3 linked regions of the Schizosaccharomyces pombe genome follow. Changing the gene in region 2 together with the main gene of any one other region gives a genetic interaction. Each region holds a gene or a part of one and is shown on either strand. Other genes may lie near its edges.

Region 1 (5,866 bases), on a different chromosome or scaffold from region 2:
AATAAATGGTGGGAAGCATTGTGATAAAAATCGATGCATCAGTTATCTTAATAAAGTTGACGGCAATTCCTTTATCCAAGCAAATTCTTGCATCTGGCTGAGTGTAAGAATTCGTAGCAAATGCTATTACTTTTGCTCGGTATAAAACCCTTTTATTACATTATTATTTTTTTTTTGGTATTCCAATATTTTTTTTGCAATACAATTGAATCCACATTTCTCAATTTACTTGTAACCTATTTGAGAGTAATGATAATGTTAAGCAACACAATATTGTTTATTAAAATTAATATTATAGTAATTCATTACCTTAGTAATGGAATTACAGAGACCATTGCACTTTTGCGCATCATTAAAAAAATTTATAAAGGGACGCATGGATAACTATGGGTTTTGCACCCCGTTTCGCTAAGGCAACTCTTAATATAGCCGTTATCTCAGTATTAGAGCGCTCGGTATAAGGTGAGTAAATAAATAAAGGAAGTGAAATGCAATGTTTGCGAGGTGGAAAAACTGAGCTATTATGGAATTCCTATCTTTGCTTAGTTTTATATTAGTCGGAAACAATGGTAAAGCTCTGCAATCGATTTATGCAAGCATGGTGAATGGGCCTTATGCATGTGTGCGATCAATTTTATCAACGCTAAACAAGCAGTAGATGTAGCCTCAATACTATATATAACCCGTACTTGTCTAAGGATATGGATAATTGTATGCAAATATACATGCAAACACGCATCATCAAGGATTGAAGAGGCCAGCTATGTTTGAAAGATCATGATTCATTGAGTTGGAAGTAAACGACAAATAAAAAATCGAAAAAAAGTATAATTGCAAGTACAAAGACAATTTAATATAATAAAACCAAATCTCCTTGATTAAAAAAAAGTGTTTTGGAAGTTAAAGGGAACGCCAATGTAAGTAAATAAATATCGCGGGTAATTTCCTCTTTGTTCTTCGAGACACAATAAATTAAATGAAAATACGAGAATCAAACACAGTAAGACATATCGTTGGCTAATCACATTCCCAATGCTTTCTTATTGCACTGCATTTACGGAATTCTCATTTGAATGGATTGAGTCGGATTGAAAATCAGCGCCACCGTCACACCATTCATATGAACCACTTTTTTTATTTTGATAAAAGGGTGTTCATTTCTTCACTTTCTTCTATTTCTTCGTTTCCTTCGTTCTCCTCTTCGAGCGATGGATAACTGGGAGGAGGTACCTCTTCGGCATAAGGATAATAACCACCGGCATTGAGCGCCATTTCATCTTCTCCCGGTTCCTCAATTTGTCTTTCATCTACAAGTTGAAAACACGGCCACACAAGGAACAGGAACATCACAAGGAATCCAGCCGCCAACACAGTATTCATTCCCAACACCCATCCCGGCACACCAAAACTATAAACGATGGAGCCAACCGCAAACTCCATGAAGCATGGGATTAGCATGTAAAGAGCTCGTTTTGAAAGAATTCCTTGTATATGACAATTCTTTTCAAATGCTTCGAAGTAAGAGTAACGTCGTCGAATTTGCTCGCGAGGGACGGCATGGATGAATACATTATCCACAGTCATCGTAGGAAAAGTGAATTTACAGGAAGGAATTAGGAATAAGTACGTTTCAAAAAGTCAAAGTAAAGTTTTCAGGTATTTTTTATTACAACAACGTCATTCCGATGTGGTTTTCACTATACCCGCTGCTACACTGAGTAAAGAGGGAGGATACTGCGGTTAGCCCAAATGTGGAAAATGTCCTTGAACCCTACCTACCCGAAGCAAGAAATCCGGTGTTGGAAAGCGCTGAAGGAGCGACATTCACAGTTTGATTTTCTTTTCTTTTTTTCTATTCTTGGACATCTGTTTTGATTCTTTTCTTTCTGCTGAACAGTTTCACGATGGCAGCAAATATCTCGAAACTTGAAGCAATTATTGATAATACACCGAATTCTTCCCCAGACCCAGAAGTTTCTCACAAGTTATGGGTGTCCTCTTTAAACAAATTTCAATACACACTTCCTCTTTTGATTAGTAACTTTGCTGGGCTCGGAATTGCGTTCATTTACTGCCTGATCGCTTTCATTCGAGAAATGTCGCATCCTTCATCCAGGAAAGACACAATGGAGCACGGGTTGCCCATAATTTTGTGCTCTACGTTGATGCTTGTTGGAAACATCCTTTACTATTTCTTGTCGAAACATCCGCTTAAAGTCACCGTTCCAGAGGATTTGGTGCAAATTCCTATGCAACAAATGTCCAGTCCCGCTCAAGAAGCACCTTAATTGGCCGTATATTTTGTTTCAATTATGTTTTTGAAGTGCTTGTCTAATATAATAAGGAGAATGCCATAATCGGTGACATTGTGAGCCGAGTTTTTGAGGCAGACATGTAGAATAGATGATAATTTGTATTTTATTAATTAATCTGTGAATGATATATTAAATGAATTGAAGTTCAAAATGAAATATGAAGAGGTGTCGAAAATATAGGAATAGTACAAACCAGTATATCGAACAGTGCTCTAAATTTTGGAAGATGAGTTCGTTCAGGGTCGATGTATTCAACACACTTCCATTTCGCATTACGAGACAAGTTTATGAAACGAATACGTTTTAGATAAAAATAGTATTGAATTATTAAGTTAATTTTTAGATTAGTAGTGACTTAAATGTTGAATAAATATTAAAGGAGTAATAAGATTAAAGGCAGCGGAATGGAAACGAAATATTTTATAACAAAGTGAAACAGGCGTAAAGGAATAGGTGCCCAAAAGCGATATATGAAGGTGTTATTAATACCTCTGATATGGAGAAGAGTTGAATGTATCTTCTCTTGCTTTAAGATTCTCTTGAAAGTCCTCAACTTCACCTCGTCGAATTTCAACTGTCAGTTTACGAGAACCTATAAAGAGCATCGCAAGTACTATGAGTATGAGTAAAGCATTTACGACAGCATCGATCATAGCAATTACTTGAATAGCTGATGGAAAACCTTTAAAGATGAAAGTAAACACAAGAATGAAAAGACGGCAAGACACGATGAAGGAGATAAAAGACATAAACAAAAAGTCATAATTATCAGCTCGTTCCTTACCGGCTTCATACGTTTTCTTTTCAATTAGTTTTTTGTATGTGGCACCTTTAAGTAACGACTGGAGTTCCCATAGTTGAATGGATTTCTTTGGATTCATATTTTTGTGGGAGGCAAAACAGCTAGTTTGAACAAATCCGTTTAAAAACAAGAAAAATTGCGAAAAAATATTAATATGAAATAAAATGCTTAAAAGTCAAAGGATTTCGACAATCGTTGTTAATGAGTAATTGGAGCGCAAGACCAGAGGTTTAACGATTTTGATATTCAACCAATATATTCAATTTCTCTGCCTACACAATCCCGACCTAAATATTCTGTATTATTTGATAAATATTTATTCTTCTTATGCAAAAGCATTTTCATTTTCTGGCCAATATCTGCTAAATTTTGTGTTATATTTATCAACATGACACAACCTGACATTGAAATAGTTATCAAGGAGGATTTTACCTATAGGGAGTGTTCAGATGTTGCGAACGATGTGTTTAAAAAAACTCAATGGCTCTTGTACGTTTTCCTTTTCATAATTTTTGCCAATTGTGTTGTTGATGTTAAGTATTATTTTGAGGGATTTAGTCATTCATTATTATTCGTCTATTTTTTCTTGACTTTAATAATTCTTCTTGTAAGTTTTATGGGATTTCATTATTTGAATAGTATTCCTAAGCCGGAAGCTGAACCTGACTATCGAAAGAAGCAAGAGTCAAAGAATCAGGATTTCCTTAAAAGTCAATCTAATGAACCTTTAGAGTACGCCTCATCCTCTGCAGTTGAACTAGAAAAAGAAAAAAATACGCGAGAGGGCTTAACAATTCTTGAATCTAGTTAATTTTGTATCCATTTGGCATTTGCATCGACCTTGTTTTTGTTTTGTGTTATGTTTATAGGTTTATTATTTATATTCTTCCTTGGTGTGACAATTTTTTTTCTTTAAAACAAAAGAAATTAAAGAATTTGTATTTTATTTATTTTTCCATTTTGAACTACCATATTGAATGTATTCTCAAATTATTAGTATACAGGTGTAATGTCACTCATTTGAATGTAATCAGAAGAAAAGTTATTCTCTTGTTCAAGATCCCTTTGAAACTCCTCAACTTCTCCTCGTCGAATCTCAATTTGAGCTTTCGAGAATTATAGAATAGCAAGCTAACAACTGAGAATGAAATCTACTGTTAAATCTGACACATCTACTTTCACGGTTTTAAGAGACTTAAAGCCATCAGACATAATTGCTATCATAATGAGTAAGCGGAAATCCACGTAGCATAGTCCAGGAAGAAATCCAAACCATAAATAGTTTTCGTGATGTCCCTTTGAAATTTCATCTGATTTTTTCTCAATCAGTTTTTCGTACGCAGTACCTCAATGCAGCGACTGGAATTCGTACAGTTTAATGGATTCACTTGGACTCATCATATATGATACAAGCAAAATAGCCACGTCAACAAAGTTCTTCTAATGTCTGAAAATCAATTCAGTTATCAGATTGAAATATTGCTATCAATTCAAGTCGAATAATAGGAAAATCTTTCTCTGTGGTTGATGATTTAAATATTTAAACCAGACCAGGGGTTTCACAATTTAGTTAAGAGTTACATTTACGGACTTTTCTTTCCACAAACCTCACTTTTTACTGTTTTATTTTTTGAATTTTGCTGGACATTTTTTTAAATAGCTTCCATTTCTTGCTAAACTTGTTTAAGTATTCATTTGTATTCGTTTTAATTGATAGAGGCATTGAACGTTGAGTCGAAATGAAGGAGTTAATCTATAAACCGCGTTCACAATTTTTGCCAATATTTTTACTTGGTCTTTGAACGTTCTATTTTTCTTGTTTCTTGTGACACGTGCCGTTCACATTGCATTTTAACTAAGAAACATGGCCACAGTATGGCCGTTCTAAAGATGATGCTCCTAAGATTGATCAAAAGTAAAGAACATTGTTATACTATGGTTATCTCTTTTGCAGTGTTATCCATCCACTATGCTTGTGAATGCTTTTTGTATCCTAAATTGTTTGATTCTCAGCGCTCTCCTTCACCTTTTTTACGTTGGTTGTTTTCAGTTCTAGGTGTTTTAATGTCTATGGATGTGTTTTGTATTTTATACGCCTATCCAAGTGTTTATTTACACTATGTAAGCGAAGAACCTAAAAAAAAATTAGAGAATCCAGTCTCAGCAATTAAAATCGAAATGAAATTTCATGAAGTCATACTTTCTTCCTATAAATGGATGTAAATAATTTTTCGTAAAGGAAGTATATTCATCGTAAATCTTAATTTTCTATTTCGCTTGTCATTCGATGTCGATTTTGTTTTCCCTACGAGTCAAATGTCAATCTCAACTAGATGGTTTAAGAATTAAACACCCTCTAATTCCTCCCTTCCTTTTCTTGATGTTGAAATTTCTTTCTCATTACTACAATTCATAAACTCCTATCAACTAGAGAGAATTGCGGTTGATAAGTTTTTCAAAGGTTAGCAAAACGGTATATGCATAAAGTCCCATATACAATTCAAATATAAAAAATTAATTGTTCTTTTCATCGTTGATTTCGTTCCAAATTTGCTCGATAGTCTTCCACTTCACCTCGTCGAATCTCAACGTTGAGCTTGCGAGAACTGAAGTAAAGTATGACTATAATACACACTAAAGCTATGCTGTTTATGATAGCATCGGCTACAGCAGGCAGTTCACAGTACGTATTTTTGTTGAAGAGACTTATAAAGAATATGATCATTCGACTTATAACAAAAGAGAAAAT
Region 2 (5,095 bases):
AATGTCAATTTGCTAACATTATTCAATTAGGTTTTTTTACCCAGCGGTGAAACTTACGATCAAGAGCATCTTGATGACAACCGTGTCTTAGGTTACAACCCTTTGGTTCCTGCCGCTTTGGTTCAACAAGAGATTCCTGTTTCTGAAACTTCTCGCAAAGTCATCACTGACTCCAGAAAGGAGATTCAAGCTATTCTCAACAAACAAGATGACAGAATTATCGTTGTTGTCGGTCCTTGCTCCATTCATGACCCTAAATTGGCCATGGACTATGCTAAGTTGCTGAAGCCCAAAGCTGACGAGCTTCAGGATGCTTTGTGCGTTGTCATGCGTTGTTATTTGGAGAAGCCCCGTACTACTATCGGATGGAAGGGTTTGGTCAACGACCCTAACTTGGATGGTTCTTTTGCTATCAACAAGGGTATTAGGATGGCTCGTCAAATGTATTGCGACGTTACCAATTTTGGCATTCCTTTGGCCAGTGAGATGTTGGACAACATTTCTCCCCAATTCTTCGCCGACTTACTCAGTTTTGGTGCTATCGGTGCTCGTACTACCGAGTCTCAATTACATCGTGAATTGGCTTCTGCCCTTTCCTTCCCTGTTGGTTTCAAGAATGGTACTGATGGTACTGTTGGTGTGGCGATTGATGCCATTGGTGCTACCGCCCATCCTCACACAATGCTAGGAGTTACTAAACAAGGTCTCGCCGCTATTACCATGACCAGGGGCAACAAGGATACCTTCATCATTTTGCGTGGTGGTAAGAAGGGTCCTAACTATGATGCTGAGCACGTTGCCGCCGTTCGCAAAGATCTTGAGAAGGCCAACCTTCCTCCTCGTATCATGATCGATTGCTCTCATGGCAACTCAAGCAAGAATCATTTGAACCAACCAAAGGTCTCCAAGAGCATCGCCGAACAAATCAGAAATGGCGACTCTTCCATTGTTGGTGTTATGATTGAATCTCATATCAATGAAGGTCGTCAAGATGCTCCAATCCGTCCTGGCGTTAAGGATACTCTCAAGTACGGTGTCAGTATCACTGATGCTTGTGTTAGCTGGGAACAAACTGCTCCAATGCTAGACGATCTTGCTGAAGCTGTCCGTGCTCGCCGTCAAAACCAAAAAAGTAATTAAGACATATAAATGTTATATTCAGCAGTTTTAATTTTTTTAATTTTTGAAACTTATTTTTTCGTAACATACAACAACTGAACAATTTTGGCTTAAATACGGGTTCTATTTATTTTTTTTTGTTTTTTTTTTCTTATATCGTACACAGCTTCTACCAATAACACCTTCGTTTTTAAGAATTGCTGTGCAAGTTTTGCGAAATGTTTGATCGTTTCATATGTTTCTAATCGATCTCCTTTAGCTTGTAATCAGCCATAGGCACATTGGACACAAAATTTAAAACGTCTATGAGTACAGTTGTACAAAGATCAAGTTTATTAGTAAACAATAAAAGAATGCAACATCTATTTAAATAACCTAAATCACAACAAACTATAGCCAGAGATTAATCATAATAAACGAAGTAAAACCGTACAAAAGCAAACCAGAATCCAAAACAAATACATTCCATAAGTTGCTATTTAATTTTTGCGTTCAGCAGTTACACTGACCCATCGATTCGTGGAATCACTATTGGGCTCCTTTTTCATTTCTTCTGCTGCATTTAAGGCCAAATACTTTCTTTGTGCTAGTACCAAATCGCGTAAAAGCTGAGGACTTGGTTTTTTGGCATGCATAAAATTACAAAGGCCACCCCGCTGACATTCCGAAGTTTCGTGTTGCCGGCAACATGCCTCGCGAAAATCAGTTACAGGAGATAACTCGGCGTAGACTGGTCTTTGGGAATACCATCGGGAATTTAAATCATCAATAGCATTTTGGGCAGACTCTTCATACTTGAATCTTACATAAACATTTCCGACTAAGTGATCTCCAACATTGTCACAGACGACTAATTGTTCAACTTCACCGTATTTTGAAAACTCACAAAACATGTCCTCGTAGAATGCATCAAATTGTTCTGCAAGTTCACGCTGCGTGAACTTTTTGCCATTTGGTTCATGAATTGGGTTTTTATACATGTTGGGACATAAGATCGTTTGACTAAAATTTGGTTTGACATGTTTACGAGAGCAGCGTTCCCCATGTCTACAAGCTCCTATTTTATAATAGAATGAGCAATTGACTTTATCTTGCTCAGTACCATAAATACTTGCCAAATGACTTGCCATTTTTATATGGTGGTTATGAAATAAAGTGATCCAACATGATTCTAGTCTTATAATGGTGGCGTGCAACATCTCGTTAAGTTACGCAAATTTTCTAAATTATTCTTGCACACTATTGTCAGCAGTACTACACTACGCTATGATACACTACGTTGCGTATCACTATATGTCACATGTTCTAATTATATATCGTACCATGTATGATACGATATGGAGATTGATCTTAATGATAATCTATTAAGATCTATATTATCTGAATACTATAAATAGAGCTACTGCTGAACCTCGTTCCTCAGTTCAGTTATGAGCTATATTAGTGATAGGTAACATTATAACCCAGTTAATACAATACCTATACTCAGTTGCTACTTATATAACCTGTGTATTGTAATATAATAGATCACAAGGAAAACTCACCACAGTTCTACGTATCCTTAAATCAGATACCAAACTGCGTAGCTTACAACTATCCGATATACAGATATTCCCTTGTATTTCCCTAATTATATTCGAATTTGGAAAATATCAAGAATAAGTAGTTACTGTTATTAGACTGATGTGCCAACGATTCAAAAGAAAAAAAGATAAATTATTCTTAACACAGCACATTCCTTTTTTTTGCTCAGGAAATTTACTCGAGAACAAATTGTTTCCAAATGTCACGATGCCTGAGATGTACGCAAATGAACAACATCGGTAGTTTTACAATATTTAAAACAATCTATAGAGAATTTCTTTAAAAAGGACGGAAAATTTTTTCGAATGCAAAATTAATATGGAGTTGAGTATAATACGTAAGTTAGGGATTCAGTCATGCAGAGATAGTACTGTTCCAAACGCAATTAAGCTATTCCATTTTTCTGAAACGAATAAAACGCGGCTTAAGGTGTTAATGTAGCTTTCTTTTACGAGAGGGAAAGCATTCTCTAATTCAATTTTCACAAGTGAGGTTCGATTTCTTTCAAGATCGTTTCCGATTGCGTTAGGAGCTTTTTCTTGACTGTCTGTAAAGCAATACAGTTTGGTAAGGACTGCGTGACAGCCGAATAGGGCTATTACATGCATCGACTTTCCTTTTTCAAGAGAACCGTGAAACCAAGTTGCATTAACGTAAGCAGTTTTCGAAGAAGTAAAGGCATCGATACTATCAGCAATTAAAATCCCAGGACTATTTATTAGAAATACAAGAATTGCAAAGAACTTACCATAAATTGGGTAATGTAGGGATTTTGGCTTGAATCATATCCCCAGCAACATTAAACCCTTTGGGATTTTCATCACTGCTCAGTCCTTTTTTGATTAACATAAAATAATTGAACACCTTCCGTACCTGTGATTTGTGTTTCTAATCTCCCTGTGCCTACATAAAGCTTTTGCGAATCCTGAAGCATGCCTGAATGGATGCTACAGTAAATATGTGATTGATTTTCTGGCAAAGGAGTAATGTGTGAAATTGTTAAAGAGAGAGGTAGATTAAGAAGAAAATTCCATGTGCCATGATTTGTATCTGCTTCTTTATCAATTTTGCCAAGCAATGTATCAGATTTATACCACTGGGATAATTTTTCTTGACTAATGGATGTAAGATTGGTTCCTTTTAGTCCGCTTATCGGAATGAATTTTGATTTCTCAATTATTCCGCAACTTTCTTTCAGAAAGCTCTGAATCGAGTTAACAAGATTAATGAATTTATTTTCATCCCACTCAATTTCATCCATCTTAGTGATAGCAAACATATAGCTTGAAATAGATAAGCCATTCATCAATTGTAAAATGGAAGATATTCCATCAAGACCTTCCAAAGGATTCAGACAATCAATGGTGAAAATGGCTGTGTTCATTACTTGAAACAAACTTGAATGTTTTAGAAAATTATCTCGAGAACTTGCATTAGTAGTGAAGATTCCTAAAGGAAAATCAATAATAGTTGAGGAGTAACTGTTGGAAAATGTTTCAAAATCATACCATTTCGTTTTGGTGGACTTTAGCACTGAGCTCAAACTTTCTTTTTTGGCATTCAGTACTGTACATTTTTGCATGGTTTTGGGATCAAATGATCCAATTTGAAAAAATAATCTAGAAAGGAGTGTTTTTTTACCAGACTTGGGCGGGCCCAACAACAAGAGTTTCGTTCGAGGCTTTACTAATTTGGAAAGTTCAATTAACTGATCTTGGGAAAGTAAGGTGTGATCATTATTTGAATCATTAGTATTTTTTTGAGGTTTCAATTGTTGAGAAACTTTCTTCATTGACTTTACAGAGTTTAGCAATTGCTCGTCCAAACGTTTGTGTTTTTGGAAACCTGTTTAACAATTAGCGCGAAAAAAAAAGGAAAAGATGAATTGAAGGAGACAAAGCATACTTTTAGATTTAGATTGAGCCATCAAAACTATGTCGTCAGGGCTAGGGGCGTTAAATCCTAAAAGTGAACTTTTGCTTAGATGAATCTCAATTTGGTCCTCAAAAACGCGCTTCTTTGCGCCTGTAAGACATTTCGCAAATGAGGAAGGAGGAGCTAATTTTACCTCTTGGGGGTTCTTCTTCAGTTGGTCGCTTTCCACCATTTGTTTTTGGAGTGTGGTTTTATCATCATCGTCAGTAAGATGAATTTCATGAGACGATGGTTGTTCAGAGTCTTTCTTCTCTGCAATGCGAACCTTTCGAAACCTTTGCAACAAAAAATCATTTTCAACGTTTTTCTTATGTTTAGCTTGAATAGGCTCTTTTTCCTTTTCCTTTTCGGTTTTAGGCGGCTGCTGTTGAGTGGATGGAAAAGAAGAATGCAATTTTTTCCGTTCAGCGGCGAGTAATGCGAGCTTGGATGTTTTTTGTTTCTCTATGAATGTTAA
Region 3 (9,923 bases), 940 kb from region 2:
GATGTCCAAGCATTTCTCACTTCACAACTAGAGTATTATTTTTCGATTGAAAACTTGTGCAAAGATATGTTTCTTCGTAAACATATGGACGATGAAGGTTACGTTCCTTTAGCATTTTTGGCTTCCTTCAATCGAATTAAGAGCTTTTCTACAGATTTGAATCTTTTACATGCAGCTTGCAAGGCTTCAGATATTATTGATGTTGCTATTGATCTCCAGTCTCCTATGTCCATTAAGGTTAGAAGAAAGGAAACTTGGTCTCCTTGGATTTTACCTTCAGAGTCACGCTTGAAGTTTGAAATGGCCAAGTATCCTCAGATAAACTCTAGCTCCAGCATGTCCCCTCTTGCCAGTTCCATTTCAAATTTGACAATTTCTCCTCCATTCATTCCTTCTTCTGTGGATTCAATTATAAAAAGAGATGTTCAAACTGAGGTTGAGGATAAACTTACTGTTTAGAATTTTTGATATTTTTTTTATTTCTCGAGGCATCAATATTTTTCGTTCATTCTGGGTCTGTTCTTTTATTGACGCCTGTACTTTTTTTTATTTAAAAGGCAAGGATTGTTTATTGAAACTTGACTTCTATAGTTTGGTTTTGGTTACTGAAGCGTAATGGGTTTATTTCTTTCGGTTAAAAGAAAAAAAAAAAAAAAAAAAAAAAAAGAAAATATTGTACTTATTATAAGAGTATATGTCGTTTTCGATAAATGGGATTACTGGATTAAATGATTATCTAAAGTGATGTGTCATTTATGCTAAATTCTAATTTTTTTTTACTTAAAAAAAATCATTGTTTATGATTTGCATATAGTTTCTGTTATTATTTTCAACTGTGATACGCTGTAACTTCATGCTTCCTGATTATATCTTCCAAATCACTGGCTCCCTTTATTATTTTGTCATGGCAAAATTTTGTGAGTTTAATATGTTTTCTGTAAAGTAAATTTACCATTTGTACCTTGATGCTTCAACTCATAATGTACTCGTCTTTACTTTAAGCTATTCTATATTTAAAGGCCGCAGGGACATGAAATGAATAATAGAAGAGGATATTTCACGAAAAATCTTTAATTGATCGTTAAAAAAAAGGTCTCTGGTGTGTGTGGCAGTAGCATCTTCCTTCTGGCGTTGGATTACTACAAATACTGATTAGCTTACATGCAGAATATTAAGAGGTTGTTCAAGTTTTGAAAAAAACTTATTTAAAAGAAGGGCAATTTTTTAGAATAAAAAAGAAAGTTTACCAATAAGTTATCTAAAATTATAAAAGGATTATTTGTTTTACTAGAAGCTAATTTATTGAAATTAATTGAAAATCACTTTATTTATTCCTGTTGGGCATTCAGGTTTAATAGAATGTGACCCACACGATTAAAGTAATTTTTAAGTAGTTCTCTAAGTTGATCATCAAGGTTCTCCTTTGCAATCATAGAACAACAAGAAAAGTAAAGAGTGTGAATGTTTTCGGAAAATAATTCTAAAGGAAGATTCAGTATACTGTCCAGGATTGTAGCAATGACAGGCTGCCATGCAGCATGGTTACGCGTATGTTTCTCAACAACCAAGGAAGCATACATATCCAGCATTTCGGCACAAACCGGAAAAAGAAGTTTATGAATTTTCTGATCCGTTTCTGTTTTACCTAAAGGGTCTCTGGTTTTTAATAAGCGGAAGAGCAAAGTGATGTACAACAATGCACTAGCCGTTTCTTGTCTCAATAAATTAGGGAGTTGCTTCATAAATCCAACGTTCAAAAGCGTAATACGTAAAGATTTGTCTTCATTAAACTTGCGAGCAAACTGCCATGAGTCGTAAATAGCCACAGTTATTTTCAATACATGTTCATGGGGGATATGATTAAAAACTTCCTCGTTATCTAACAATTCAGCAACAATACTTATTAAAAGTAGTTGAAGAATACATTTTCGAATCATTGAACGGAACTCCATCTGTTTCTCAGGGGAAATTGAGGATGTCGAAATTGAACGAGAAGTTTCCGGTAGAGAACCGCCTCGCTTATGGCTCAATTGAGTATTTTCATTTTCGGAGTAAACAGGGGCTCCTTGCCCATTGGAAAATGTTTCTAGAAGAAGAAGCTGATGAGGGGTGGTTTCCTTGAATAACTCAATAAACATATCAGCGACCAGATTCCAATCTTTAACTTCAAACCTATACGCATTTCCAGAAAGTAGCTGCTGCATACAATTTGTTCCTATGCGAGAAAGTGTAATATTATCTCTACAAATGCAATTGCTAAATAACCATAGATAACCTTTTAGCAAATTGTGAAGTTTGTCAAAACGGCGTGTTAACAAAGTGACGAGACTTCGTAACGCTTCAACAAGAGTAGTAGATTGCCAAGTCCTGATCTCCTCATCCCTTAACATAACAGTCGCTTCATCCGCTTCTGGTCCAAATATTGAGAATATCGGGAATATAAATTTTCGTGAAACAACTTCCCAAGTTTCTTCAGTGAAATCATCAGACTCTTCTAAGAATATATAAAATAAGTTTTGAAGAGCTCTTGACCTTACTTCCAAGTCTTCAGCTGACATTATTATATCATAATATGCAAATAAAACTGGGAAAACATATTTAGAAAATGTCTCATTTACTGAAGGCTTGGAACTAAGTCCTTCCTTTATCATAGTTGAAAGACTTGAATAAACTTCTCTAATAATTTCCAAACTTTGTAAAGAGATTTTCTGGTTTGTTCCATTTTTGCATAATTCAGTGAAGGATATCAACATATCTATCAAACAATTTTGCTGCATTAAAGTATCATAATGCTCGGAAAAAAGATTGACAAGGGTATCAAAAGTCATAGAAATTAATATTTCGCTTCTAGCCTTAGCCGCAAATGTAAAAACGCCAAACAAAGTTTTCCATCCAGATTTTATTTTGGAAATTTTAGCTTGAATCATTTGCTTAACACATTGTAAAACAAGTTCTTTGACTTCTACTACGGTATCGGAAGCCATAACGTACTCAAATGGCTTAAGGAATTCTTTCTGAAAGGAAAAGAGAGACAACTCCTCAATTTCGAGAAAATGCATAGAAAGCTGCCTCAGGGAATCCAATGCAAAAACAGCAACATGCCTATTCTCATCACTACCCACCATGTTGAAGAATCTACCCAAAACGTTCCAAATTGATGACCATTCCACTCTAATCCTTTGCATGTTATAATAGGATATCTCAACCAGCTTTTGTAGACTATATAGCCTTGGCTGCTCCAAATCACTAGAAGATGTTATTTCATCCCAAGAAACTTCACATAATGCTTTAAAGAATGATACTATCGCAGAGCCAGAAAGAGAAGATGTTTGGGTAAATATTCTATCAATGCTCAACACTACCTCAGTGGACATTAGTTCTGAAACTGCCTCTGGGGATAAAGGTTTAGATAGTGAGCGAGTTCTAGTCGAACGAGAAGTACTTCCACTAACATGCCGAATTGAGTTTGAAGAACCAATGTTCACATTCTTTCGACGAACACGTGCATTTATAACATCAGGTACTTCTGTTTCATCGACACCAACACCAATCAGTTGCACGCGTTCTAGTTGACTTATAATAGTAAGGATATCTTTCCAAGAATCTTTCAAATTATTACCTTCGGTAGATGCAATTCTCAGTAATGTTTTTATAACCATAGTATTACGTAATTTGATTTCACTGGTAGAATGCAGATTAGTAAAATTAGTCAGAGTTTTTATAAAAGCGTCTCGAATAAGGTCAAGGTCAAAGAGACAAGCTATACGGACAACAAGCTGAAATCCATCAAGACACATATTAAGTTCATTAACATAATCAGAATTTTGTAAAGGGTTTGAAAGAGCAGCAAGTATAGGCATCCAAGTAGCCTCAAGCATGGGACCTATATGTTCAAAATGAGTAGCATTGTAATAAACATTTGTTTTTTGTGATCCATGTTTCTGTTGATACAATAGCTTTTTTAGCACACTTGTAGCCTTATTAGCCATTTCCTCCGAAGCTTGAATACAAGCTACTCTTTGCAGATCTCGTCCATTAGAAGTAAATGTGGTGAATCCACTAGATGTGCTGAAATTATTCATTAAAGGAGCAATCGCTGCGAGTTCTTGATCATCTTTCATAGCAATTTCATTTTTAAGAATGTCATCATATACAAAACCAAGATAGTCTTCATCTAAATCAGCACCGTCATTAATTCCACGATTATTTTTAATGAAGTCTTCTTTTGTCATTTTGTTTTTAATACGAGGAGAATGCAAATCAGTATTAAGCAATATTATAGAATAAGCAAGAATGTAGGCAGTATCAGCATTAGCGAATGCAGACGGATTCTCCTTCATATACCTTTCGGAAAATTTCAGCATAATTCGATCAATTTTTTGGGCTTCACCGGGTAGTCTGAAACACTGCAATAGACGACGTAAAGCGTCTACAAACTTTAAATTTATAAAAGATAAACAATCAATAAATTCATGCATCACGGAAATACTTTTCTCATCCCCTTCTCCTAAGTAATCTCCTAAAGTAGTTTTGTCAATACCATCAGCACGAAACAGAAATTCAGCGATAGCTTTAGGATCATTTATGTCAACATATTCATTTTCTGAAAGCATCTTAAGACCTCTAGTAGGTTTGTAATTGAACTTGTTTATACAAGTCCGTAATAGCTTCTTTCGTTGTTTGTTTGATTCAAATTGTGAAGGATCTGCAAGTGCGATAGAACTACTGCTATGGGAATTTGCTTCAAACGATTGTTTTCCGTTATAATAAGGATTCGTCACAGGAGTATCAGACCTGGAAAGCGCATCATAATCTCCAACAAAACCTTGCTCATCCGTTGACACACCTCGGCGAGATAAATAAAGACCACTTTCGGCCCAATTTGATAAAGATTGCAAAATGTCAAGGACGCATTGCAAAGTCTTTAGCTTCAATTGAAAATCGCTAAATGTGGTAAGTTGAACCACTTCGGACTTTAACGAAGCAGAGTTCGTATTTAGAAAAGGGGTACTACTCCGTTCAGAAGATTCTAAAGAAGGAAGAATTTCTTCAATATCTTCGGATATCGTTTCCGAAGGACCATTGGTAGTAACTTTTGAGATTGAAAACAGCAATTGTTCGAAAACGTTGGTAGTGGAAGAACGATCACAATCGTAATTTATATACAACTCTACAAGAGCTCTTGGATTAAGACAGATTCTCTGGATGATTAACAAGGTATGGAGCTTCTGATTGTAGGAGGTGTTCTTGAGGTCTAACATCGGAAAATAAACTTCTCGAAAAAACACTTCAATTTCCTGTTTGAAGTGGGCACGCAAAGAAAAAACCATAAGATAAAAAATGTCACAACAGACTTCAAACACCTGGGGAACAGGACTTACAGCATTGCGAGATAATACTAGGCAAATATATTGACGGGAGGCATGAACAAGGGTCATTCCTTTAAGTGCTGGGATACCACGAAATTGGAGAGTAGGATCCATGAATAAGTCACTATTTTTTTCTAAAATGCGATATATAAGATGGAGACTAATTAATTTCGCGCGCATAGCTTGAGATCTGATATTACTGACTTTATCAGGCGAGGTTTGTCTGACAGCAAGTCGACACATGGATCGGAACACTAAAAACGCGTCTTGGATAGAGGAATTCTCAACACTGGTGACAGCTGGGTCATCTGCGTCAACTTTAACATGATCTAATGATGAAGTGCCAGCAGATGCCATAGAATGAAGAGTAATTTTCTTGTCAGGCTCATCCTCATCGTGAACCCAATTTTCCGTCACCGATGCATCTTCTTCCGGTAAAGCAGATGTAGAGTTCGACTGAGTGTGGCTCGCGCGTAATCGTTCATAGACTACAGTGACAGCCTGAGTCAAAGAAGCTTGAGCAACTGACTGTATAGTATCACTATCCCCGAGAAGAAAGACATTAAAGAGTTTACGAACAGAATTCAATAATATCGCTCCATGAAGCATACTATCCTGCTCAGAACATAAGATAAAGGCAGATAAAGCTTTTACAACATTCAATTGCAGATTTCCATCAACAACTTCATCATTGATACTATCGCATACCATATCAACCATACACTGTAGAAGGGATTTAGGGGGCCCAAATGAGGCAGGTGTTTTATCTTTTGAAGAAAAATAGGCGAATGAAGCAAGTTTAGAAATAGTGTCTAAAGAAATGTTCATAACTTCATCTTGACTGGATTCAAAGCAGTACTGAAATAACTCTACTATCAAAAATTTGTCAAACTGACATTCGGTTTGTAGAAGAGGTTTTAGTTGCTCCATTAAATTCTTCATCTTCTCGTTCTTCATACAAACTTTTATTTGTATAAGCTGCTCGATGCACTTTATAAGCACTACATGAGTGGATTTTTCCAAATTGGTTAAACCTGATTTTTGCTTTTCCAAACTGGCCCTCGATGCAGCGTCAGGTACAGGCGTCGCGATAGTTTCATTGGATTTTTTGTCGTCTTTCAAGTCTTCTTCTTGATATTTCTGCTCGATTCCTTCGGGACTCTTTTCGTTTTCTTGTTTCGCTGGCGACAACGACGAATCTTCTGTATTTATATCAATACTTACCACAGCATCGCCTTCTAAACTTTCAGAAGCAACACGACCGAGATCCATACCATTTTCATCATCTTCGTTGTCAGAATCATTAATAATTTTAGTAACTGATGTTGTTCCAACTTCTGGAAGATCTTCGTGTCTGTCATGTTGCTCATTCACGGAGTTCATAGGCAGAGCAGGCATATTGATCACAGGTTCAGAGGCATCCTGCATTTTGGCATCGGTCACGTTCAAGCCAATTGCCGTCTAGACGAGCCAACTTTTAGCAATGAAATATAAGGCGGAGTATGTCTTTGCTAAGTGTTTTCGGCCTTAATGTGTCGAACGTTAGATCTCGGTTCAATGTGCTACTTATATAAAGCAAACGAGCGAGACTTATAATAAATTGTTTTATTACAGTATGGATTAAATAGTAAACATTATAACTAGATTTATACAATATTCGTTGTTTTACTGAAACTTTTATTGTCGATATTGACCGTGAACGTTTTCTTATTTCTTTTTTACAGGACAGCATTCCTTAAACTGTAAAAGGATTAAGGAATTAAACAAAATGTACGATTTCTACCATTTTAAACATGTTCTAAAAAAAAGAAACAAACAAAGTTAAGTATTAATATTAGGCTACATTTTTTCGTCCCCTTAAAAATCCCAAAAAAAAATATCATAAAGTTTAAGAAAAGGATATCAGTCCAAGGTTTCAAATTGACCATTTAAAAATTCGACAAACATTTCCTTGAGAACATTGGTATTATATGATTGTTGCCGGTTAATTTGGATAAATTGACGGCGCAATCTTTGAAGTAAAGGAAGAGATACTGTAACACTGGGTAATGCGATTTGAAGTTTGCTCCCTGGTACAGTAATCAAGGAGGTATCGTTGGAATTATCCAGTATAAGCATGATTACGTCTTGAGTAGTTTTATCTAATTCATATAAATAGTTGACTTCAGCTGGAGGTTTTACCATTGTAGCTTGGTTAGGCTTGACATTTTTGTTATGAATAAGAACTGACCAGATGTCATCGATAGGACAAGAAGCATCATCGTGCAAGACAGTAAATAAAGGGGAATCCCATCGTGTCATTCCATTCGGTTCTTCATAACGAAACATTAATTGCTCAAGAACATCGTCAGGATACGGCTGTTCCTTGTTACTATTGAATTTTCGACATAAATCTTGAGGAACAGCAACATGAATCACACAATGAGTTGTGTACATAGACTTTGATTCACAATATAACTGGTATCGAAATCCTTTTATGTAATTCAAGGCATCGCAAATTACGAATGTAGATTTTGAAAGTTCACGCTGAACAGCAGAATAGAGAAGGCCACGAGCGGCCTTTTCGTTCTTGGACTCTAAGACAAATTAGTTACCAGAATTACGAAAAATTGCATATACGGATTCTCCCATCATCTAGAGTAGCTGGGCACAATCTGAAGCCAAAAATGAATTGGCTAATTTCCAAAAACTAAATCATTAAAGATAACTATTTAAACATACCTCGATATGTTTCTTTTTCAATGTTTAAACTCTCATCGTTTATTATTATCACCCGATAATCCTTTGTATTGTCGATATTTTGATGAATTCGATCTTCTAAAGCCTTTTTAAGTTCATTTGACCTCGTTGTTTTCCCTGAAGATGGATAACCTGAAACAATTATTAATGGCATTTTCTTTATGTTCTACAAAATAGAAGGTTGAATAAAATCAGCCGTAAAACATATGTTTGAAAACTTCCAGCTTTTTTTTGATATATTTTTTCATGAATTTAACGAAAATTACTAGTTCGTTAAACATTAGTAAACAGTTAATTTTTATCCTTAATTTGTATTTCGTAATGCGCTCAATTTCGGTACTGACTTATTACTTACGACTAGTAAGTATTGCTTAGGCTTAAAAACACAGTAATTTCAATTTGCGGTCTCTTTAATTTAATCTTGCTTCCCTTTACCTTATCAATTGTTCTAAAAGAATTAAGGATTAACACTAGTAAGACCCCGGATTTTAATCGCTAAAAAAACATGCACGCCTTCTACGCAATCAGGGTTGTTCAATTTAAAAATAGTAATCATTTGTTGAAAGATTTTAAAGGTGCATAGGACATCAAGAAATATAAGCTAAATGCAGTTGATTAAAAGTTAGAAAAGTATCTACTTATGCCGCCATTAACATGTATCTGGTAAAATGCGACTAACTTATAACACATGTTGTATACCAGTCCAATGATTAATTTAGTACCCTGGAAAACGTCTTGAATATTGGGTAAAGAAAAATCAGAACTTAAAGAAACCTAGGCTGAAATATTTTTTTTTTAAATAACTATTCAGTTTGCCAGAGAGTGTAACAAAATTAAAGAAAGAGAAATATAATTGCATTCATCATAGGACTGCCAGTTTCATAGCAAATAAGCAGACCTAATATTAAAAAAGCAATTTTATCGGCTCAATTTTAGTCAAGCGTACAGCTGGCAAATAAATTGTTAGCAATTTAAACCAATTTATGTATCCGAAGATCATAAACAACTGCATATGTCAGAAATAAACTATCAAAAAAAAAAAAAATCCACGTAAATTTCATACCGTCCTCAGATCTTTTCAAATCATATTTTAATCCATCGAAATGTCTTCTTAAGGAGTCGTTTTTCAAAGAGAGTACTTGAAAAGAAGAATGAACTTTTTGAATAGTATTTAGGGCCTCAAATGGAATATGATAGTTTCCAGATATTACTGAGTTTACAGATTGACGAGCCTAGAAATTGTGTCAATTTGGATTGTTGAATAGAATATATACCAGTTCAGAACACAGAGATAGTACTGCGTGCAAATATTGCTCAATTGAAAGATGAAAAGTGGACTCTTCTGGAAAAACCGGGACTGAAGATTGTGAGAAAAATGTAAAATAATTTACGCACCTTGCAAAATTTGACCAACTTCGGAAAGCGATAGAAGGCTGTACGTGGGTCTTAAACTTTTATCTAAACGACCGGTCCAGGAAGCTAGCAAATATAAATAAACAACTTTCTGAATTGATCGATCCCAGACTCCGTTATATTTATAGTATGGAAAATTCGATGCCAATTCTGCTAATCCTCTGGTTTTGCTTTTAATGATCTCAAGAGCTTCTAAAATTTCTTCCTGATTTTCTAAATCTTCCAAAGTTAGTCCATGTTCTTTTTCTTGTAAATTTTCATTTCTACTTTGTTCACAGTTTGCCAAGAGAAGTTGCAAAACTCTTAACTTTTCGTCTAACAAATCGACCTCTGCAGTCAGTTTCTGTAATGTTAGTTTGTCATAATTTCCAAGATTAGTACCTCCCGAATACTATGTTCTTT

What was found.
Region 1: mutations in uaf2 (region 2) and SPOM_SPCC622.03C together harm fitness more than expected from each alone (negative genetic interaction), as found in Schizosaccharomyces pombe (one large-scale study listed by BioGRID).
Region 3: mutations in uaf2 (region 2) and sec72 together harm fitness more than expected from each alone (negative genetic interaction), as found in Schizosaccharomyces pombe (one large-scale study listed by BioGRID).

What each region holds. Positions count from the first base shown.
Region 1 is NC_003421.2:1,403,172-1,409,037, forward strand, and holds SPOM_SPCC622.03C (uncharacterized protein), read right to left. Parts: upstream 3,197-5,866; coding exon 2,798-3,196; 3' UTR 2,289-2,797; coding exon of another isoform or gene 1,905-2,288; 3' UTR 1,696-1,904; downstream 1-1,695. Other genes in the region: SPOM_SPCC622.01C (uncharacterized protein), read right to left, coding at 1,135-1,584; SPOM_SPCC622.02 (uncharacterized protein), read left to right, coding at 1,905-2,288; SPOM_SPCC622.04 (uncharacterized protein), read left to right, coding at 3,506-3,928; SPOM_SPCC622.06C (uncharacterized protein), read right to left, coding at 5,645-5,866.
Region 2 is NC_003424.3:5,322,765-5,327,859, reverse strand, and holds uaf2 (U2 auxiliary factor small subunit Uaf2), read right to left. Parts: upstream 2,267-5,095; 5' UTR 2,250-2,266; coding exon 1,599-2,249; 3' UTR 1,425-1,598; downstream 1-1,424. Other genes in the region: SPOM_SPAP8A3.07C (phospho-2-dehydro-3-deoxyheptonate aldolase), read left to right, coding at 31-1,140; ski7 (ski complex-interacting GTPase), read right to left, coding at 3,054-3,414, 3,452-3,536, 3,577-4,548, 4,609-5,082.
Region 3 is NC_003424.3:4,385,628-4,395,550, forward strand, and holds sec72 (Sec7 domain-containing protein sec72), read right to left. Parts: upstream 6,867-9,923; 5' UTR 6,798-6,866; coding exon 1,329-6,797; 3' UTR 1,215-1,328; downstream 1-1,214. Other genes in the region: slr1 (RNA-binding protein), read left to right, coding at 1-459; kti12 (elongator complex-associated protein Kti2), read right to left, coding at 7,272-7,945, 8,091-8,262; tsn1 (translin), read right to left, coding at 9,080-9,114, 9,172-9,340, 9,383-9,465, 9,504-9,740, 9,789-9,864, 9,903-9,923. UniProt on the Schizosaccharomyces pombe protein: Guanine exchange factor that acts as an activator of arf1 at the trans-Golgi net-work and is thus involved in vesicular budding and traffic between compartments of the Golgi apparatus.